3 linked regions of the Lepisosteus oculatus genome follow. The protein of the gene in region 1 purifies or fractionates together with the protein of each later gene. This does not show direct contact. Links are inferred from orthologs where the notes say so. Each region holds a gene or a part of one and is shown in the gene's direction. Other genes may lie near its edges.

Region 1 (8,017 bases):
CACCCTGCATGTCCCCTGTCGTATCAATATACAGTATGACGCAGGCACTTACTTTTGTGCAAGGGTATTGTGAGAGCAGCAGCAGTACCAAAACTATTGGTAGTCTTAACACAACACTGACAATAGCGCGTATATCCGTTTCAGTAAACGCTCTGCGTCGTACAGTATGGTGCCGCTGTGAGGCGGTTGAACCTGATTTTTTAAATGGAGGAGGGTCGTCTCCGCACGCAGGCCGTTAGTCTGTCTTGTTGCTCGGTTAGCAAGCCAGGTTTGTGTTAACTCCGGTTTACAGAGAGGAACAAACTGCGCTCGTTAAATTTAAATGTGTTTACACTTTCCGATGAATTATTAATTTCGCAGCTGTCCAGCTGTCTCGGTTTAAACCGGCGGATGTCATATCAGCTTTGAAAGCGTACGACATTATTGTAGTCAGGACTGTACCCTATATATTTTTTTCAGTATATATACTGTATATACGTTTATTTTGTGATAATACAAAATGTGTGCGCTGGTAAGACAAAATTGATCCTTCTGTTATTTTAAAGTTAGAGGTGTTTGGGACTGGAAACGTTTTATAGGATTGACGTATGCATTTGTGATATATTCCGATGCCCTAAAAGTTATTGTATATACATAATTATCCAGTTAGGTGTAGATTTTTATTTTTCTAAATGATGGGTGCTTAATCACTGTGTTGTGACATTAACTGTGTTGTGGTGACATTACACCGCGCTAGAAGATTGAATTTCTTTTGGCGGGACAGGGTGTAGTCTGGTGTTTGAAAACCTCTTTGTCTTTATTAGGTAGCTGGAGAAATTAGCATTTCATCTGGCCTTTGTTGGGAGGTGGGGGAGCACTCCACTCCCTCATCTTGTATGGACTGCATGCCTAAGGGGTATGGAACCAAGACACTACACTTTTTTCTTTGTAGTTTCTGCATTCCTTCTTGGGGCTTGGTTTTATACTGAGCAAAGTTACTGAGACCCAAGATTTTGAATTCCGGAGAAGATTTTGCTTCTTAAGAGTGCCCTTAGCCATTTACTAATATTCTTAGTATATGAATTATAATGCACGTTGAAAATACTGCGTTTAAGAGGTTAGATTCAGAGGTACAAAAGTGGTTAAAATAAACATTTTCTTCCTAAATGAAAAAAAAAATCCTGGTTACACCCTGGATTGTGTCATTGACCCATCACACTAAGACCTTGTGATCAACCTCCTCTGTAGATGCATTTAAAGGCCACAGGGTCTATCCACAATGTGCTGCCTCTGAATCACAGCCACTATAAATACAAAACCACATTCTGATACTGCATGTTAAGGAAACTGAAGCATACCATTTAGATTTTTTTTATTCTTTGTATTTTTACATTGCAGGAGTAATACAGAATGAGCAGCTAGAGATGCCATTTTGGGAATAAATACAGTATTGATTTACTGTACAATCATCCAATGACAGATCATGCTCTAGATTATGAAAAATAACCTTAATTACTTTTTCCCCGCTTCTGATAATTAACAGTGTTCAACTATCAAAAAAAGTCTTCATAAGGCAGCATGAATGGTTGTGGTTGTCTAGAACATTCTACCCAACATTGCTTATTTCAAGAAATGGCTGGATAAGATCAAGCCAGATTAATTAGCTACTAAAAGTGAAACAAGCTAGGAGGGCAAAATTACTTCCTCTGCTTTGGTTTGCATTTTTTTATTCCAGAGTATGTAATGGATAATCATACCCACTGTTTAACCCGATGGGAGTTTCACTTCACAAGACCTCAACATCAGCAGAGGTTTAATATTCCATAAACTTTGAGATGTTAGTACATTCTTTAAATTTAATAATACACCTTTTAAGACTAACATCTGGCACTCCTATGAAAAACTGAAACTAACACTAATGATTATATCATTGTTGTGAAACCCAATATTATTTCAACCACTGACTGCGACAGGTGATAACAGGTTTTACAGCATGTGCTTAAACATATATATTTTTTCTTTTTTAGGGACTGAAGTTCAAAACCACACCTAGTATGAAAGGGAACTTGTCAGCCATTTTGGCTGTGTTTATTTATTCATGTTTATGTTTCAAATGCTTCACAATTTGTTTTTAAAAAAAACAGGTTATACTGACAGTTAGGTGAACATCTGCTACATGAAATCCAAAATACTGTGCATGCTCCCCGATAAACATTTGTTAGAAAGGTTTTATTAAACTAAAGGTTACATAAGGTAAGATATGTATACTCCTAACTTTAATTTTATAATTTTGTGTTTATAAAAACATCATCTCTGTTGAATCATTGCAAACATCTTTCTAAAACAAGCCTGATACGACCTTGTGATTCATATTTTTGTCTTCACAAAGTCACCTGTCTTTTCTAACAGTGGCTGCCTTTTAACATTCTCAGTATGCTTCCCTGACGGTAAACTGTACTGCATTTAAAAAGTCAAAACTAATCTGATTCTCATGGGATGAGCTTTTACCATTAAAATTAATGTGGATTGATTTGTGGAAGAAAATAGGGGGTGGTAATAAAGGGTCAATAGATCTAAAAATCATTAATAATTAACAAAAATAAAAATATTTTTGATATATTAAGATATGTTTTTGAGATGTATTGCTCAAAACTGCGAGTTTGCTCTTGTTTGAAGCAAAATGGGATTCCTTGATAAACAGCACAGTTGAAAAATGACAAGAATATCTTTTTTCTAAATATCTAGGATCCAAACCTCCCCAGTTTTCCTTTGATGAAAGACGTTTGACTTTACTATCAAATATTAATCTGAACTGAGTGGTGAAGAAATTAAAAAAATATATTGTTTTGAATTGACAGCACTATAGCACAGTGGTTAGAATTATTGTCCTGTAGCACTGGGTTCAGTTCTTGATCAGGGGTTATATCTGCGTGACTTTTGTACTGTATGTTCTCCCTATCTGTGCCTGGATTTCATCTGATATATTGTGCTCTGGTTTCTTCCCACAGTCCAAAGACATACTGGTAGGTTAAATGGCTTCTGAGAAAACTGCCCCTGTTGAGAGTGTGTGGTGCCTGTTTGTGTCTGCCTGAGATGGACTGGTGTCCTGCCCAGCATGTACCCTGCCTTGTGCCTGTTGCTTGCTGGGTTAGGCTCCAGCTGCCCTGAACTGGAACAAATTATTAGAAGATCAATGGATGGATTACTTTGAATTTCCATGGGTAAACCCAAACCACCATAGTGATTTTTTTTTTCTCGGTTTGGCGTGAGTTAAGTGTAATCTGAAATGCAATATATCACATAATATTGTATGTTTGTGGTGAATTACTGTACAGTGGTTATTATCCTGTATTTCAAGCTCTGGTCAAAACAATGTATTTTAGAGTTACTTATACTGCAAAAAGAAAGTGATGAGAGTACTGTTAGGTATCACAAATAATGGAAACCAGCCATAATGAAAAGGTTTCAATCACTATGAAGAAATGTTCATACATAGGTATTTCTGCTGCATTATAGGGGTTTTAATAATGGATCTCCATGGAGTCTCTGGGAACGTTGAGTAAATACTAAATATACGTCTTTTTCTTTCCAGCTTTTCCTGCAAGTATTTGAAGACCTTATTGTGGCAGACAATGTTTTCTGTTTAATGTTCTTTTTTGCTTTATTACATTTTTATAATGTTTGGGCCTTATTCAAACATGTATGATTAAATATAATACACATTTAAAATAACAACTGAAACCCAATTAATCATAAAAAATGTTACTTAGCTTTTTAAAAATAATGATGTTACAACTTCATTAAGTTTAAAGCTTTCATTTGTGCATGAAGTGCACCTTGATTTTCACAATCTCTTACAAAACATGCATACAGAAGGAAGACCTAAAATACAATGTCATGTGGCAGGGTATGTCTGGCAGTTTATGTTGGAAAGAAAGGCGTTTTTTGTATTTGAGAAACAAGAAACAAAAGGTCAACTCACTTGGTCTAATTTGAATTTCATGTTACATTAAAAATGAAATAAAAACTTGATGCGTTGTATTTTATGACAATTAGGAGAACTTCATGAGGAGAATAACATATAGGCAGAAAAATGTTTTTAAATCTAATCTATTTAGGTTTTTTTTTTATTAAAACTGAATATCAAACGTCTATACCCAGAGGCTGTATGCCTTTCATTTGTCTGAGCTTTATGGCTTTATAGATATTAATTGAAAACAAAATTTGGCTTGTGGTACTGTACATGGAAGAATTACATTCTAATTATAATTGTTATTGCTTTACTGTGGCATATGTTTTTCATTTTTTCACTATGATAGTATACAGTGCTGCTACGTTGAAGCATGTTCAAAGCTTGAAGATGTATACAGTATATCTGTTAAATGCATATTAAAGTTGTGCTAAAACTGATGCCTAGTTTAAGTACTGCAACAATGCCTGCATCTCCGCTTGTCTGTGCTGACATGACTCTTATTTTGTCTTTTCCTCACCTTAATATTGACCTTTTATTTTGTTTTGTATAAAAGAACCACATAAAACAAGATGTTTAAGGTATTCCTTAAACATTCCTTTTGAAAATCTTGATGAAATATGTGCTTCACTTACAAAAGGGTAAATTGTTTTATTTCACTTTTAAAACACTAACAAAGTGAAATACACGAAACACCTGAAATAACCATATATTTTTAGATCCTGCAAAAAACCTGTCCTTTTTACAATGGAACACTAAAAGGGTAACTCATATTCCGTCATATACTTTACATCCGTAAAGTAAATATAGAATACGCTGCATTTGTATTGTGTTAATTATTCATTGTAATACTTTAGAGAATGCTCAATACCTGTATCATATTACTCTAAATGTTAATTAGCACCAAGTCAGTGAAAAACAGTTTTCTAGTTATGGACAACAATCTAGGTTTTTCCAATTCTGAATGGGGCAGGCTCTAGGATCTCGAGGGTCTGCCACCAGGAAGAGAAGCTGAATAGTGCTATTCAGTGTACTGTGTGCAGAATGAAGTCAGTATACATATGCTCTCTTCATGTGTACAGTCTATGCAAGTAAGCCAAGAGCGCCTTCAGAAAACTTTGTTTCACCAGTTTTGAGAAAAGGTAAATAATTTCTTATTTTTTATTAATGAACTTATTTCTTTGCAATTTTGACAGGCTTCATATCATTCACAACAATAGACATTTTAAGGGTGTGAAACAACATCTTACTCTTGCTACTAAAGTAAAAAAGATGGGTAGGAATAATATGTAAGGCTCATGTTGCCTGGCCTTAGGACAGCATTTTGAATCTGTATTTCTTTAGAACCTGAGAGGAAGTAAACATGGATGGGTGTGTTTACTTCCATCCTAGGTGTCCAAGGGTAGCTTCAGAGGATTGCTTCATACTAACTGTATGTGATGATGAAATGGCTTCTGAAATGGCAGGAAAGCAAGAAACATTTTGTATTTTTTTTGTAATGTCTCTTGGTTTGACAATTGCAAAATGTTGCTTGATGTATTTCCTTTATGTATTTATTGCAGAAATGATCCTGTCCTCTAACAACTGCTCTTTATATATGACCTAGCACATGAAGTATCATGACCAAGTGATTAAAAACATCTGTTCAGCACTGCATTAGGTTCTATATTTAGGTTGTATGTTGTTGGTATTAAGTAGTATAATTTGTATAGGTTCCTTTATAATGCAGTAATTCTAATAGATGTATTGATTGAATAACTACGTTAGTTGTCCATGTTTCTGATGAGCCACCAATAAATCAATTTTTTAAATGTTCAGTTATATTAACAAAAAATGTTGTATTTGTGAACAACTCTATAAAAGAATGCCAAAGGGACTACTTCAGAGAATGTTTTATTGCCATCTGGCTGGTAGTACAATATTAACATTGGTAGGTCCAGCCTGTTAATGAATAACTTCAACAGACATTTACATTTCGTTCTCTAACAGAAAGTGGTGAAGATTTGAAACTGACCAAGCAAACTATGATTTTCTTAATGTAAGGGAAGAATGTCAATATGAGGAGTGTTATCCTGATATAAATTTTGTCTTCATATCTTAAAATACACACAAACAGGTAGTGTCCCTTTCAGTGACTTCAGCGTTCTTATTTCAGTCATTGAGCAATGCAGATTTAGGTTTATTCATTAAAGTATATTTTATTAAACCTGGAACTTTCTGTTATGTTAGTTTACCGAGGATCAGCTTGTTGATAGCAATATTTAGGGGTTCCAAAATGGTATAAAATCTAAGAAATTAGTTCTGTTTTCCAATGAGTGAAACTGGAAGAGAAAATCTGGCACTTTAGAGGCCATTTAATCATTGTACACTATTACAAATGAGATTAGAAAGAGATCAGTTTGTTCATACAAGCATTTGAGAAAATGTACAACTGGAAGTGCTTTATGCATTATTATAAGTGCTTCCTTAATTGAATAAAGAAGTAAATGAAAGACATCCATGAGGAGAGTTTTTTTTCTTCCTTGATGTTGTCAGTGGGTTTGTTTTCTCCTTCGATAGTTTCATGAATGTGTTACCTAAGTATATAGACTGTATTTCACAGCCTCAGAGGATTCTCAGTTTGTGTGATGAATTTCAAAACTGCTGTTTTACCTAGAGAATCCTTCATTGGATGGATGGAAGTACTTAAACCAATGAAGGGATGATAGAGTCTTTGGCTTAAATTTGGCTTTTGAAGTATGTAATTAAATATTTATAGAATTAAATTAATCTTTTTAAATGGTCTTAGCTACTTTATGTAGTAAAGTGGGAGGGTTTCAATGTCACAGAGTAAAAGATTATGAGAACCTTTTGATCTCTGCCTTGTAATACATACTTTTTGACTACAGCTGTCTTTAAAGTACTTTGTTAAAATAAGAACTTACATGTGGTTACTTCGTTTAACCAGTTTTTAGGTGACAATTCATTTATTTCCATTAAGAATTAGTTAATTTGTACCGTCACAAATAGGACCATATAAAGAGGGAATCAGGGAAATCATTGTAGTATTTTTCGTTATCTAGACGATGTGAAAAGATATCCTGAAATCTACATAAAAATAAAACTTGAGTTTGATTTATAGTGTTTTTTGTCAATTTGCACAATGCTCTTTTACACGCAAATACTGTATATGCCTCTATATTCTGGCATTTCGAAAAGCGGTGTTTCAATATATATTGTCTTTTCATTTCTGGCAATGGGTCTTTTGAATTAATACTGGGAAATAAAATTAAGATTAAAATCAGGAAATGCGTTTAATCCGTTGTTTCCCAGAAATAAAAATGGTGACATAAATGTATGGGTGTATCCTCGTTTGTAAGAGGGGGAATTCACTGTTTGAGAACTTTATTAGCATTAGGACCCGGAGATTTACACCCTCTACCTGTTGGCAGGTGGTGATTAAAGGAGCTATGCCCATAATTGGAGCCCGGAGACGTTAAGGAAGGGATGGGCGAGGTCACCTGTACACGTCACTGCATGTTCGAAACTACCTAGGACCGAGAGTTTCGCAGTTGCAGCCTCTGTTTTGAAGGAAGCACACCTTTCCACAAGGTTGAAAGACTCTTAAGGATTTATAATCAACAGATTTGGGCTGCAAATAAGGGATTCTATACAACCTTTCAAACTGATGGGGAGTGTCAGGAGTTTACAGCTGGGAGTAATCCTTCTCTTGGTCCAGGTAAGTCTTCGTGTTTGATTGAAAACGACCAGATCCACAAAGAAATCTCGTTTGACCCAGTATAACAGTTCTTACAGCACGTAGGTTTTAAAGCATCCGATATTGTAGTTTGTATTTATGCGTTTTAGACCCATTGAAAATCCTTTCAATGTGTTCATATAACGTAGATCAGTCGACATTAAAAAATTATGAAGCCTGTAATAACTTCCTGCTGATTGCTCTGTTTTAACGCTACCTTTTAAAGCAATCCTAGAAGAAAATCTATTAATAAAAACGTTTCACCAAAAAGCCTTCAGAAAAAATATTTTGAAAGTTCTTAAAATACGGCATTACCTTTTCAGAATATTACA
Region 2 (7,813 bases), on another chromosome or scaffold:
AGTACATGTACAGTTTTGGTCTCTGTGATTCAAAAAGTAAATTTTCGCCTTAGAATGAGTTAAAAACAAAGCAGCCAGATTAATTATTGGTCTTCAAATAAATAAATGACTGACCACAATGATCCATGACCATATATCTCCACACTTACTGTGACACTTTGATAAGGGACAGAATATAAAAATCCTTAAATGGAAATGACTACGTTTTAAATGAACCCTCAAATCTTTGCTTAATAGAGAGCTGCTAATTAAATCAAAAGTCACCGCAATTCATTTGCAGCCGTGCATTGCCAAAAAAAACCGTTGCTGTCCAAACCAGACAGAAATATCTGTCACTCTTTACTATTTTACTTGGAGATTTTTAGTGGGATATATTTTTTACTCACTCTGATGTTTGATGGTATAGGCCTTATTATAGAGCTGTTTTCTGCACTTTTCAAAAAATAGTTGTTATTTACTTATACTAAAATTAAGCCCATCCATATATTTTTAGCTCCTATCCATGAACAAAGATTTTCACTGAATTGTTTTTTTTTCTCTTAGAAGAAGAAGTTTTTGGATATCATATATCCACTAGAATATTCATTACACTGAGAGTGACCCAATGATCTGTCATTGTAGTTAATTGCGTGATTTTTCAGAAATACTGCACTGAATTTTATAATATAATTAAACCAAGATAAGCACTACAATAATGCAGGGAAAAGAAATTTGAGTTATAAAGAATGTGAAAGGCATAAGGCCATAAAGAGGTAAATGGCAATCCTATTACAAAAGTACATTAACTGTGACTTGAAGGAAAGAAGAGGGACAAGCAGGTACACTTTATCTGCCAGTAAAATCATTCCTTTAACCTCAATTATGAAAAGTGCAGTGACATGAGATACACAGCACTGTACCCCCTGTCTGGCTAAAATTACAGGATAGCATCAGAAAACTGGGCAGTTAACCATGATGCAGGGTAAAGATTATTGCAATGTACTGTATAGCAGATCATGGCTGAAAACCTTTACTGTCCTTTGGGATTGCAGAAAACAAACAATATTGAAGGTCATGGTTAATAATATGGACACAGTTTCCACATGCCTGTTCATGCCTAATCCATAATTTTCCAAATCTATTTCATTATCCACAGCAATACAGGGCTGCTTTATTGACACATAACAGTTTGGACCATTATTGCGTTTTATGTTATGCTTGATTTTTTTTAATGTAGTCTCTTCCACTCCAACAAAGACCCAGATTAAAGTGTTCAGCACAGGTTTATTATTAATCAGATTGGTTGGTTATAGGCTAGACTTGGGTATCAGCATGTCATCTGTGAATTTGATTCAGACATTGACAGTCATTTTCTCGTCTGTGTGTGTGCAGGCAGCACATCACCTTCTCTTTCTGAGGAGCTTACACAGTAGCTGGGTGAAATTTAAACTGCTATCCCACAGGATTTTGATTCTAGACATAATGAGCCAATGCTGCTTAGCCAACATCATGCTGTTGTGAAGAAATAATTCAGAGAGCTCATCTGGAACAAAAACAGCTGGCATTGAGGTCCCAAGAAATCTCTGTCCCAAGTGATATTGTGAAGATACTTGGCTATAGTCCTCGTGAATGAGGCAGCTTTGGTTACAACATTATCTGGGCATGTCTTATCCTAAATTAATGAGGTAAATTAATTTAATATGTTAATGACATATGTCTCTTACCATTCACAAATGAAGGCAGAAAATGACCTCTCTCAGGGATAGAATGCATTGATAAACACTAGTGCATTTTCTGAATCTGAGAAAACTGTGTGCTAGGAAAATCTGTGTATTACAATCCACTTTTTCACAGGTCTCTAATTGTTTTGATGGATAATAGCCTTTTGGTGGTATTTATGGAATGATTACTAACTGCCCTTTATAAGCTCAACCTTATGTCAGTGGCAGACTGTAAATGGCTGGGTTTTTTTAGAATTAAAGGAGGTAGCCAGTAACATTTTGCCATTTGCTTCTGGGTTTCCTGTTTTTGACAACCTTGCTCTGCCCTTCTTTGGGCAGACAAAAGATCAGAAAGTGCCCATCTGAGATTTCTATATCTGCAGTAAGGTCAAGCTAGAAAACAGGAAACTGCAAGCATTCTAGCTATCACAAAATGAAGATTGCCACTCTTATCTTATATTCTCTGGCTATTTGATGACTAGCAGCAAGTCCAGGGAAATAAAAGTGTATTGCTTCTGTAAAATTGGCCCTGAAGTGAGTGTGTGTGTCTGTGTGTGCCGTGCGATAGACTAGCCTCCTATCCAGGGTGCCCATTGCGCCTATTGCTTGCCAGGCTAGCCTCTTACTACCCTGAGACCCTGTTCTGGATAAAGTGGTTCAGAAAATGAATGAATGGAACTTAAGGTATGAGTGTCCAGCTGTGATCTTCGAGAGCTAAGGAGTGTTGGCAGCTTTTCAGTTTTTCTAAACTATCGAATTGTACGCACCTGCTTAAGATGTCCAAACAAAATTGTTTAAAGTGTTTTAGAAATTGGTGATTTAAGGGTGATCAGGTATCAGTAATGAATCAAGCATGGATTGATCGTCAGGATATGATATCAAATGATAAAGGCATCCCTGATGTCAGAATGTTGATTCGATAAAAATGTAAGTACATGGAGTAAAGAGTGCACAACTTCACCAGAGTTTAATTATTTTTGCTTTAAGGCAGACTCATACAATCTGCTGGATTGTGGCTATCCTGAACCAGGATTGGACAACTCTGCTCTGCCTGTTCCTTGCAGGTGAGATGCTGAGCTGCTCTCCACACTTTCCTCCATATATAGTTACACCAGTGTGATTCAGAGAACACACTGTGATGAGCAGCACCTGCCTGAACTAAACCATCATGTTCACACCAGCACAGTTGTATACACATCAGGGTTTCTGAATAAATCTCTCCTTCTTTCCAGTACAGTATTTTCGTTTTGTCCTAGAGATGAATGGGAAGACAGCATCAAATATTTCCCAAACTTATCTGTATTTCACTGCCTCGTGTCTCCACCCCACACACCATGCTAGATGAGCTGTAGCTCTATAAATAGGACTGGTGCCATATATCGATGTGAGCTATTCTGAGAAATCAAGGCGGCTTATGTTAGTGCTTTAAAAATGACTCTTTATCTGCAGCAATAATAAAACAGCGTAAGTATAAAAAGAGATACGCACCCAAATGCATTACTTTTCCCAAGGGAAACATCAAAGTGAAACGCAAATGAGATCATAGAAAGAATGGTATTACATCGTTGCTTCTGCCTGACTGTGTGTTTTGGAAGTACTTTAAAAAATAGATCTATTTAAGCTGTCAAGGAGATGATGTTTTTCACAAAATAAACCCCTAATGAATGTTACTTTAAGGAGTATAATACAACTGGGGTTCATGTCTAAAACTATGGCGTAGAAATCTCTGTTTACAGGACCCTTAGGATACTCTGTTGCAAACATTTTTCAACTTTAACTGGTCATAAAGTGACAAAAATACCAGTTTGAGTTTGGAAGAAGAATTATTTCTCCAAGAATTGTTTTTCATATAACTTAAACCAGAAACATAACCTTGCCGTTCACCTAATTTGATCGTGTCCTTGAACTTTTTCAGGGTCATACAATGTCATTCATCTTTCCTGTCAGTGACACACATCTTTAACTTTAAAGAGTTTACAGTGTTTTCCTCTTGGCTTGTTCTACATCCAGCCTTTTTGATGTCCTTTTACCATATATATATATACAGTATCTCAGTCATGAATTCTTCAAATGCTGTTTTATGTCTCTAGGTTTTTGAAATCAAAGAAACGAGTGTCCTTTCTTGTGTTACCTACTGTATATCTGATTGAACCCCGAGTATAATCACGCAATAAGGGAAAAATCAAAATAGCTTGACAGTGATGTTTTTTTCCTTTGTTGATACTGACTGCAGTCTCTAACTGAAAGGAACTTTGCTTTATAACACTTTTAGCAACACAAAGGACAAAGGACATAAAATTCAAAGGTATACCTTCAGGTGCATTTAAAAGAAACCAGGATATAATTCCCATAACGTTCTTCAGAGGTGTTTGTTGAATTCGTTGAGCGGTTTACTGTTTAACTACACTCTTTCTATTCCTAATAATTGGAAAGGTATGTAAAGTAGGTGATGACTTTTTTCACCCAGGTTGGCCGTTTGTGTGTCAAAGATGTTTGCAGAGAAACTAGCTTTCGATAGCTTTGGTGTGTAATTTGCATTTGGTAACCTGAAATAGTAAATTCAACTATACAAATACTTCCTCTTTCAATTCGGAAAAAAGAGAGGCTTGGACCTGTAATGAATTGCATTTATCTATATTTTCGCCTGCATAAAGCCGCTTATTGGATCAGCAGTGACACGCAACTACTGAAATATCCTTCTGTCTGTATATTGTGATCTGAACCTCACATTTAGTGCCCCAGTTAAATACCGTACATTTTGCAGAACTCCCCCCACTTAATGCCCTTGTTGCTTTAGGACTTTTGACAGCGATATGTTTACAATTCAGAGATTTTTAGCGGTATTAACGCTAAATCCCTTAGCATACGTTCCGACTGTTCAATTGCGACATTAATTCCCTAATTACAATTCGTGGTGGCAGTAACTGGCTTTGTGCGCCGCGCCATCCACCAGAACCGAATGCGGTTTTCCAACAAGTTATTTTCTGTCGGCTGGGAAAATAAGATTGCAAAGACTTGCTACTCTCCGCAACCATAAAAAGCCAGACCTGCCCCTTTAAGAGCGCAGCGGCCCTAGTGGTGATTAATGAGTCTCGGATTCCCTGGAGACTCCACGGAGAAGAGAATGAAATAGTACTTCAAACCAAGATCATGGCGGCTCCGCTCGGGCGGGATACTTTACCTGAACACTGGTCTTATGGAGTTTGCAAAGACGGAAGGGTGTTTTTCATTAAGTAAGCGTGCACTTTTCTTCTGCCTGGAAGCTATACGAGGAGTCGCTGCACAGATTGCTTTGGACAGTTGCTCTTGGACTTCTTTGTTCCGTAACAGGTGTTTTGTTTTTTCTTTCCCCTACAGTGATGAAACTCGAAGCACGACTTGGCTTCATCCTCGAACTGGTGAACCTGTCAATTCGGGGCATATGATACGATCAGGTATGTTGTGTTAAAAGTCAGAAACCTGGCTTTTTTTAAAATCAGGATTGGGCTTTTCCCAAGAGTGATAGAATTCCAGAACGTACCTTTTCGAAACCAAAAGAAACAAAAGTTCGCCGACGCGTAAAAGCAATTTTATGTTTTGGGTCTTTTCTATCTCCAGATCTCCCGCGAGGATGGGAAGAAGGGTTTACAGAAGAAGGGGCCAGTTATTTTATAAAGTGAGTGTACTTTCTCATCTTGCGCAAGTTTTGGGAATTTCAATTTTATGCAGTCGCTAATCAGAGCTGTGAAGCCCCTGTTCGATTAGCGACTGCATATGTTTTTGCAACCTGTTGCATTCAAGATGTTTTCAAGTTACAGCTCAGGCTTCAAATCAGTTACCTAGAAGGTGTTAGCGTAATGAATGAGAGTTAAAGATGGGGGGGTCCTCCTGGTTATATCTGACTTTCACTTTCTGTAGTTTGTGGAATAGTATTGTCTTGTACTTTGCGACCGCAATTCAAGTGCGTGATCATGAAGGGCTATAAGGAGAAAGCGCAAGTTTGCTTGTCGGCCGTGTTAAACACAAGGGGTGAACTGTGGTTCAAAGTCTAGATTTATCACTCCTTTGCTCACCCATACCAACGCAACTAGTTCCCGTATCAAGTTTGTAGTTTGGGCTGTGGTGGCATTGTGCAGTACAGTCGTCTTCATTGGGGAGTTCTTTCTGTATAAAATTGTGCAGGGGAGTTAGAATAGACTGGACAGTTCCCTGTGTCGGATACAAATGCTGTTAAAACGTTGGATACATTTGATGTTGGTTACGCGGCAGAAAGTTACATTTGCCTGCTCTGAGGTAATACATTTAAAAAACTTCCGAGTATAGCGTATGAAAACAACAATGTAGCAGCTCGGCGCAAGTATTTATAAACATGAATACTAACAAACAGCTAGGTACAGCTTATTAAAAAAGCGTTTGTGACTTTTTCTAACTAGTTATTATTTGTATATTTAGTAAAATAAATGAATGCGTTGTCAACTGTTAGACAATGTTTATTTGCCTATAGCCATTCCGTTTAACCCTGATGTGAAGTTCAACAACGCCTTTAGTTGGGACACAAAAACAAGTGTGTATGGAACTGCAGAAATGTAGTTTAAGAAGTCCTTGATTCGTGCTATCATGACGATTTCCTGGCTATCTGAAACGGAGGAATGCAGTGCAATTATTATGAATATTATGAATACTGACTAAATAATTAGTATGCACTATTGCGCAAGATACTGTCTGGATTGAGTGAACTCGGGACCCATAGATATTTTAATTTCATTAGCAAACACTAACCTGTTGCGACACATATTTCATTCTTGGGGGAAAAAAGCTTTCTGATATACAGGACATTTGGGTATAAAAATAGCACCCGGCTCTGAGCACTTAGTTTTCATTGCAGGGAATAATACAGTTAACAGAAAAGTGAAGCCGACTAGAAAGTTTTGAATTAATTACACACTGAGGGAATTTATGTGATGTGAGATGCAAGCTGTCGACAGACACTGTGCCCATGATGTACAGTAAAAAAAAAACTACTCCTTGCTTCTGTAGCTCTGTTTTCCTTTGAGATGTTTTCATTATACCGTTGCTGACAATTGTAACAGTGCAAATGACGCTGCATTTTTTTATTCCACATATTGCTAAAAATGTCTTTTTTTTCCTTAGCTGTTATAAAATGAGAAATCGGATTTACCCGAGTGAAGTGAATACTTTTATTTGTTCTTCATACAGAACAGGCACCGTAGAAAAATCCACAAATAAACAGAGGATGTTTTTCTGTGTTTGTTCTTCTCTGGGGGCTGATGAATTTTTACAGAGGTAAATATTTGTTGTGGGTCATTTGAAACAAGTGCTGGATCCGAATGAGACAGCTGTGAAGTGCCATACACCAGAAACAATTTCTCGTCTTCAGCATTGTTCGAGTCCATTAGCAGTGTTAACAGTACAGTTCATCTGGAACAGTACCAAGTTTTAAGCTACTGTAGAAGCACGTTTTAATTGGCAGAATGAATATTTGTGGTTCAATGGCTTGTTCAGGTTATTTGAATTTGTTTGGTAGTGTATTGGGTGGCACAGTAATGCAGGGGGTAGCATTGCTCTGGGCTCAATTTCTGACCTGGGTACGATCAGCGTCTATGTTCTCCCTCTGTTCACGTGGTTTTCTTCTGGGTGCTCCAGTTTCCTCCCACAGTCCAACAGCAGACAGGTAGCTTCATTGGCTTCTGGGAAGATTGGCCCTGTGTCTGTGTGCCCTGCGATGGACTGGCATGCTGTCTAGGGTGTAGCTTGTGTTGCACCCATTGTTCGCTGGGATAGGTACTGGCTTCCCTGCAATCCTGGGTTGTAGTGCATTAATGTGGTATGTCTTTGTTCTGCAAAACAGGTCTTTGCCCTGATAGTCTGACAAAGACATGCTGGTACGTCTGACTTTATTGAAAGTAATGCTGTTTGTTTGTTTTAACTCCATGTTTCCCCATAGTCTAGGAATGACTGGGTTATGCCATTAGTAAGTGACTGTTCCATTCACAGGGCTTGCTAAAATGATGGTGCACCATTGGTTTGATGATGGTGCACCTGTGAGTTTGCAGTGATGTTACTGTCCGTTGTGTTACTCTTCCAAACAGTGCTGGCTCTGGTGTTGGTACTGA
Region 3 (7,940 bases), on another chromosome or scaffold:
TTAATTGGAAGGAAAGCCTTCGAGAGTAAACCTGATGCTTCAGTCAGTGCCATGTTAATGGACTCACAAAGATTCATCCTCCAGGTGACATCACAGAACTAAAAAAAATGTAAAGTCCAGACCACACCCATAGCTGCTCATCTGTGCAGAGCTCATCCTGGTTGCTGTAGTGATAAGCAAACTAGACAGTGCGTTACTGGTCTCCAATTCTGCAACTGGGTGGACAGGAACAACTGTGGTACCTGGCTTGTACCTCACTTAATGGTAAACAGCAATACCTGTCATAACCTGTTATAAGTTCGATAGTTTACCCATTTCACTATAAAACACCCATCATAGAAGGAATGAGATCAACAAGCCCCAATACTTCTATTTAATCTAGTAAGAGTAAGAGCCTGACCAAGGATTCTGTAAAATTTTGAATCTGCTGTGATTAGGATTCTATTAAAAATCTAAAGCCTGGTCTTGTAAAATCTAAATGAAGTCCTGTTATTGTTTAGTTAAATTAGAATTAGATTTTTAGTTCAGGAAGTTTATATATATCTTGTTATGAAACTGTTCAAATTTCTTTAATTAGCAAACAAAAAACAAAAAAAAAGATCATGGTTGCAATCTGACATAAATAATTTTATGTGGTCTGAATGGAATAAACTAGTTAACCGATGCTTGATCTACCACACATAAAATCTGAAAAGCTTAGTAGCCTGCATTCTCCATTTAACATCTTCAGCCTGTGACAATATTTTTAATAAAGAACAGATCAAAGAATAAGAGCGAGTAGGATTGCCTTCATAACTTGTAATGATCTTTATTTTTAAAAATACCTTTCATGACACAACATTACAAGGTATTTTACATTAACACAAAACAACCGTAAACCTCTAGCAGTTTATAAAAAGCATGCTTCTTAGCCTACATATCAGGGTTTTCAAGAAGATATGAAAACTGTTCAAACATCATGTGTTATTAAGCAAGAGACATAAGGAGGATTTCATTCACAAATACAGGTATTATGCATTTGAGACCACAGAAAATACTAAGCTACTAGACTACAGGAACATATGCATCCTGATTGCAGAAAAGTACTCCTGTGATTTTTTTCAAATATGATACTCCCTGATATAGACATCTGCACTATTAATCAGTTCACTAATTTTACAAAGCAATTGCACGCAGCTTTCATTATACAGATGTATGAAATACTGCACTGATGAGACTCGAATCTGCCTTTGATGACACAGTGAATTTCAAAGCGGCTTGTAAATGGCTTTCAGTATTTGTCAGCTGGGTGTGGTGCTTCCATTGAGACCATTTGAGATTCAGAAGCCCAGAGCCCATTAAACACAGACAGAACACCTTCAGACAAAACTAAAAGAATCCATTGGAGTGTGCTTTTATATAATATCGATTTTGTATTTCAGATGAAATTTAAAGCAATCCTAGTGGAATTTTCAACTCCATACTGTTCTATTCATTCAATTTACTTGGGTGGAATAATATTCCCTTTTCCATTATACAACCCAAAGCCCCTTTTAAAAACTAGGATACAACCTATTTACATTAAATAAATTCACATTTTACAGTGCTCATGCACTCTCATTACACACCCATGTAATTGTGAAGTTTGTCCTCATTAAACCCCTATCCTGAATGCATCGAATAGCTGTTTTTACAGGGGGTATCAAGTTTCAGTTCCTCATTAATCAGAATGAGATAGTGAGAAACAGTTCATTGTAACTTAGTTGACTCAAGCCATGCAGAGGGAACTGATTTTAAAGCAAAATGAAACTGAATGGTACTATAATCAGTTATTGTAAAATTATATACATTGCTTATAATTTTCTTTATAAGCAATGTAGACTTCTTAGCGTTTACATCATACAGTAGCTCTTTATTTAAAATAGGCCTTTTTTATACCCAGCAAATTATTATATATTTTACATTAAACAAATGCTGGATTGAGATAACAACGATGTTTTTCAAAATAAACCATTTTCATTCAAATAGGAGGTTATTGCTTCAGTCCGAATTGTCTAAATCCAGTGCAAAAGCAAAGTGATTGTTGTGTTTTACCTGTTCCCACATCATTATGTCTGAGCTATTAATACACTCTTTCATCCACAGATGTCGAAGTTAGATTTTGTCATGCCACTGTTTTGCCTTCAGTCCTTAATTGGTATTACGACCTATGGCTTCTGGCTTTTTAAATTTATTTATGTAAATTTATTTGTAGAAATGGAGCAGACAATTAAATGTGACAATAATTTCAACCTGAGAAAAAGATGCCCGTGCGTAATTAAATTGTTAAAGCTGTCAACCTTCTCCAGCACAGATAAACATGACATGAGAAATGACCATATTACATAGTAAAAGGAGCAAATGTTTGAAGAAGGAAAAAACACAGATACAGTGATTAATTTTTATGTAGAGCCATCTCCTTCTAACATATCATTTCTACCAAGCCTCTTATGTGTGTGCTCTATATCTATTTGTTTTTTATTTTTATGTTAGCTCCTAAAAATCCTTATACTGTCTATAACTGCCCTAACTCCATAAAATTCTAAATAAACACTTAGGTTCGGTAGAACACTTCAATAAATTTTTATATTAGAATTTGTCGGCTTTAATGACTGATTCTTTATATACTTGCTACTTGCTATACATGAACTGCCTGCAACATTTTAAAATCAGTTTTACAGCAGATAATACGCTTGGAATAGAACGGTTTTAGAATATGGTGGAATAAAATTAAGAAAAGGCAGAATAATATGTTGCCGACTTGAAGTTGGTATAAAAAAGACAACTACACTAGATAAATCAAGCAACCAAGGCAGCAAGATTGTAGATCTCTTTCAAAGATACAGCCACAACCTCACTTATACTCTATTTTGTCTAGTTAGACTGTACTATTCACTTGTTTCACTAATTTACTACAAAAATAAGTACTGTAGTACAATAAGCTGAGAAAGTCTTCCAGCTTCTGAACGTCTCAAAAGCTTTCTGGTTGTGTACTATAAGCATCTGTGACAAAGACACGGTTTTTCTCATGCAAAAAGGTCATGACTTGTATAAACATGCTTTCGGTGCCGAAACAGACATGAAATTATTCTTTCATAAGAATGGAGGCCTGTGAAGCAAAATAATGCATAAAATCAAAACCAACTGAGTTCCGTCAGTATCACAGGGAACCAACACTGTACTGTAAATGAACAATCTTGACAGGTTTCAAAATAGAGGTTTCTTGAAAGAGATAATTGGTAATTTCCTTTGGACCAGACACCTTCAAAAGCTACTGCAGGCTGTAAGAAAGGAGGACTTGTGTAGTTTCAACCCTCTTACTGACGTGTGTATAAAGTATTTGGGCTATTTAAAGAATAATGCCTCCCCGCAATGGTAAAAAAAGAAACATAAACTGATTGGATAAAGAAACAGCTCATAATTGGTGATCCCTTTAGATACAAAAAAGCTTCAATTAAACATAGTTCTCGCCATGAAAATGCAAGAACTATGAACACGGAACAAAGATGTCATTTGTCCTCTTTAAGCCTCCTTTGATGTAAGACAGGAAAGAAAAGAACTTGAATCATTTATGCCCTATTGCCAGATCTACAGTGCTTCTCAGGTACTCTCCTTCTGTTCTCATAAACGCACTCTCTGTAAGAGGCTAGAGGCTCTGTGTGATGTAACTCTGTCTTCCCACTGCAGTGACTCATGAACACCTGCCTTATCATACAGTGTTGCTTCATGGGAAGACAGTTACCCATATGCTTGATTCCTCCTCCTCCAGTTTCCCCTGATTGTTGAGTTCCAACTTTGATTTATTAACTGTTTCCTCCCGTTAAGTGTTTTATTTTAGTTTCTCAAAAAAATAAAATCCAACCTTTGTGAATCAGATTGTTATTAGCAGAACGAACTACTGCAAAGTTTTTATTTCTCTCAGATGTTCTTAGTCTTAGCGTCTTCATTCACTTAAGCATTGAGAGTCTCTCCTCCCGTGCCTCAGGTCATCAGACTACTGAGAATATCCAGCAGTTTGCCGAAATAGATATCTTGTTTTCTGCCTTAGGGAAACTGCATTTCAGTAGTTACAGAGATAGCTTTTATTTGCTGACATAAGAATGCCTGAGGATCTAGTACTGATAAAAAGTGCAGTGTAATTGTAAAGCTCAGGAATTCATCTAATATATTTACATGCAACGTTTTGGGTGGAGGGTGATTGTGTATGGAGGGAGTGGTGAAGCAGATTGAGTTCTCTCAGAGCTCATTTATCTTATCGGTGTGGCAGGGAGAAACGTATTTGCAAAATAAGGAATAGCATTGAGTATTAAACTGTTATTCAGCTCATTTTGGCTTCAGGATGTAATTATGCACACGTTTTATAAAACATGAGAAATGTATCTCATACGAGCACTTTTAATCCTTGTAGGTATTTAAATATGAATTTTGGCGGTTTCTTTCTAAAGGCTCTTAGCACTCAGTAATACAATCACAAATCATTTCAATGAAGATAATCAAAGCACATAAATGACGTAACATCACACACAATTCAGACGTTTAGCCGAAACTGACCCTAAACTGCTTAGTCCTCCTACACGATTAAGTTTTAAGTGCATTAAAAGCGTCGTGTTCAACAAGCCTATGTAAGTCTCGGTGGTTTATTGTCGTCTACGGGAATCACGAGTTGTGAACCTCCGACATCACAATAAAAAACCGAGAAGGCCTCGGGATTTAAACCACACACGCCTGACAGTCGAGTGCACGGCTGTTTGGAAGCACGGAAGGTAAAAAAAAACCAAACAAAAAAAAAAAGAAACAGAACATGCTCACTCCCGCAGACAAACTGCACCCAGCGTTCAAAAACAGTAAAACAAACAAAACACGTCTTGCAAACTCCAGGCAGCGAGCCGCGACTTGCAGACACCTGGGACGGAGAGAAGACGTCATCGCGGGAGCCCGCAGGTAAGCGCGGAGCTCGGCCACTCCCCCGGCACACCTGACCGCCTGGGTGTGGGCGCCTCGCTGTCGGTCACCGAGTCACTGCCTGTGTGTTCGCCATTCCGGGAAGGAGTTAGCACCCCCCCCCGCCCCCTACGTGGAAAAGGCCAAAAAAAAAACCTTGGATAAAGTTCGAGAAGGTAGGGCTTGTTTTTTTTCTTTACGTTTTATCCCGAATATAAGAAACGACGTAGGCGAAGGTGCGAGTTAGCTGACTTTTCGGAAGTTTATTTTCTTCTGGGGAGGGTGATTCAGGGATTCAGCAGCAGCAGCAGCGTAGGAGTGGCGTGTAACAGCCGCGCTGATCCCATTTCCTCTCGGAGTTGGGAAGTTTGGTGGAGCGGAGGAGCACGGGCGAACGGGAGGGATAAAACGACGGAGTAAAAAAAAAAAAAACTTTTCACGAAAACTTCAAAACTGAACTTTTTTTGTTCATTAGGGTTTCGTTCCAGGGGGGAAAAAAAAATCGCAACATCGGAAGCGGCGTGTGTTTCAAGGTACGCATGAATCGTGTTTTGAACAATTGTAGCTAGAAAAGAGCAACACAATCGTTTGTTTTGAAAACAACGCGATAGGCAGGGTTCATCCATTTTGACTGTTTTAACTTGGGAGGGTTCACCGTTTTATTCGAGCTTTCCTCTAAGCGTTGTGTGCTTAAAAACCTTTCCCATTAAGCACCGTTGTATCTTTTCCGACAGTAATTCGAAATGTGAGCATAAGAAGTCTATTTTAGAAGCACGATTGACTTAATTGTTTATGGGGAAGAATGGCTTCTCCATTTCATTTCAGGGCTGCCCTGCCTAAAAGTAATGAAGTTTCAGAAGGGAAACTAAATTAGTGTTTTTTTAAAAGTCACGTTTTACGTGTGTTCAGATCACGTCCTGTAAGTTTTAGTATTCATTTTAAGTTTAGGGGAATGCTGGTAGTTCTTACTTTTTGACCCCCAAAAAAACATGCTAAGCACAGACTTAACCACAGCATGAGTTTTAAAAAAGTTACTCAACAGGGTTGAAACACGCTCTGCCTCCGACTTGTTTCTTTTTTTTATCCTGCGGCTTTTTAAAAATAAAAGCGAAGCAATGAATTTGTACAAATTTCCCATTTTTTTTAAAGGACCAGCGTGTGAATCGCATGAACTTTCGTGCGTCTTTTTAAAGTAGGTCCGCCCTACCATCAGACTATGTAATGATGTTCCCTTAGCTTATGTGTTATTTTTTTTTAAAGTTTTGAGCTGGTTACTGTACGAACGTCGGTTCTGTTTCGAGCCTGCACCCCAGGGCGATTGAAAGTTAAATTAACATGGCCCAGGATACTCCCATGCTGGTCGGGTCCGTGTTCCGCCCTTCATAATCTGGGAATGATCCACCCTTTTTACTGATTTCATCAGGAATGTGCCAAGCCGCTACCACCTGTGTTGTTGTCTTTTTTTGTACTTCTGTTGTCTCTTGAATGTTGAGACGAACCAAACCAGATACGCCACATCTCCCAGAAAATAAAATATACGTATATTTTCGTGGTGGGGGTAGGGTTGGGCTGGGCACTCATTAGGCAAGAACTTCCGGTTGTCCCAAGCGCGTAGTAATGCTGGGTTTCCCGTTTCCCGATATACCGTGTCCTTTAATTTCAGTATCGTCCTCCGTTGCCCAGTGTTTGCTCTGTGGGTGCTGCGATATCAGGCCAGCCTCGGTGGTCAGGGGTGGTTTTTAAGTCGGACCCTCTACTGATGGTGAATTTGAGTGTCCCCGGTGTAATCACTTCTAGCAAGGCTGCAAACGTAGTTACGGTTTTAAAAATAAAAGTAACTCGGAACAAAATACTGACAGTCCTCCGTGCTGCTTCTGTATCAAATTTAGCGATTGGAAATAAGACTGAAAAAGTTTTACATACTTCCTAGGCAAGTAGGCGTTAGGGTATTTAACAATCTTTACGAGACTTTCAGTAAATAAAGGAGTGATGGACTGTATACCGACTCCACCTGTCTAGTATTTTTCCTGTGTGTAATGCGAAGTCTGGCTTTATTACAATAGAAACATCTAACATTTGGTTACATTTTCGACTAAATGTCTTTTAATTAGTTCAATTTGCAATCATAGCTCCTGTTTATTAACACTTGTCACTGCTAATCGGGTTTTGAAAGCGTGGGATTTATCTGGATAAAACGTGGCTATTGTGAATGCTCATCAATTCTTAGAAAGTTATTTATATTAAAGTTGCTGCCCTCTCGCTTGTTTCTAAATTGAATTCTGAACAATAACTTGAAAAACATTTATAAAATAATAAAGACTATTGTAAGACATGGCTAAAAACGTACACCTGACTAAGCTTTTGTCAAGTTCAAAGGAAATTTCTGATAAATTGGAGTACTTCTCCACAATAGAGTTTGCAGACTTAAGTCTTCAAATCAAATGTCTGGGGAAGGTTGGAGGCTGTTACAAATGTTGCAGAAAAGTGTGTCCTGGTTCATCCCGTTACAATAATAAACCATTTTTAAGACAACAGAAACTTATGGAAATACCTGGGCCAATATTCAAACTTGACCCAAACCTAGCTACCTAAAATGAATTTCAGATGGCTCTGACCCGATGTGGTATTTTGTAAGAAGGGTCTGGTTTGCCCATAACTGTCCACAACCGATTAGTAGGTTTGAAATTGAAAGGGGGTGGGAGGGTCCAATTTGTGATTTAAGGCAAGCCTTGGTTTTTTACACTGCTCCTAAATTGACCTGTTTCACTGCACTGTGTAGCCTACCTGTATTTAAGATGTGGAAGCTCTGTATCAGGAATATCTTTGCTTGACTTTTGTGTAGCGGGTTAATTTGCTCCCTGTGTGTGTTCAAAAACGGAATAAATGAAGTTCCATTTTTATGTTGTAATCCGTTTAGAAATTAAGAGGTGGGAATGTTCAATTTCTGAATTTATCCTAAGTAATAAATCAGGGTGGCATTT

Evidence for each region. The genes of interacting proteins can lie anywhere in the genome.
Region 2: the proteins of cdh31 (region 1) and plekha7b purify together in Homo sapiens (co-immunoprecipitation; 3 studies listed by BioGRID and IntAct, with this or other methods). This does not show direct contact. The link is inferred for Lepisosteus oculatus from reciprocal best matches to the Homo sapiens genes CDH1 and PLEKHA7.
Region 3: the proteins of cdh31 (region 1) and ctnna1 purify together in Homo sapiens (affinity purification with western blotting; 10 studies listed by BioGRID and IntAct, with this or other methods). This does not show direct contact. The link is inferred for Lepisosteus oculatus from reciprocal best matches to the Homo sapiens genes CDH1 and CTNNA1.

The regions. Positions count from the first base shown.
Region 1 is NC_090715.1:9,220,893-9,228,909, forward strand, and holds the start of cdh31 (B-cadherin), read left to right. Parts: upstream 1-5,001; 5' UTR 5,002-5,091; intron 5,092-7,380; 5' UTR 7,381-7,616; coding exon 7,617-7,667; intron 7,668-8,017.
Region 2 is NC_090716.1:10,984,959-10,992,771, reverse strand, and holds the start of plekha7b (pleckstrin homology domain-containing family A member 7), read left to right. Parts: upstream 1-4,812; 5' UTR 4,813-4,850; coding exon 4,851-4,933; intron 4,934-5,057; coding exon 5,058-5,134; intron 5,135-5,297; coding exon 5,298-5,355; intron 5,356-5,875; exon of another isoform or gene 5,876-5,972; intron 5,973-7,813. UniProt on the Homo sapiens protein: Required for zonula adherens biogenesis and maintenance. Acts via its interaction with CAMSAP3, which anchors microtubules at their minus-ends to zonula adherens, leading to the recruitment of KIFC3 kinesin to the junctional site.
Region 3 is NC_090706.1:36,611,334-36,619,273, forward strand, and holds the start of ctnna1 (catenin alpha-1), read left to right. Parts: upstream 1-4,939; 5' UTR 4,940-4,959; intron 4,960-5,029; exon of another isoform or gene 5,030-5,135; intron 5,136-5,434; exon of another isoform or gene 5,435-5,492; intron 5,493-7,940. UniProt on the Homo sapiens protein: Associates with the cytoplasmic domain of a variety of cadherins. The association of catenins to cadherins produces a complex which is linked to the actin filament network, and which seems to be of primary importance for cadherins cell-adhesion properties.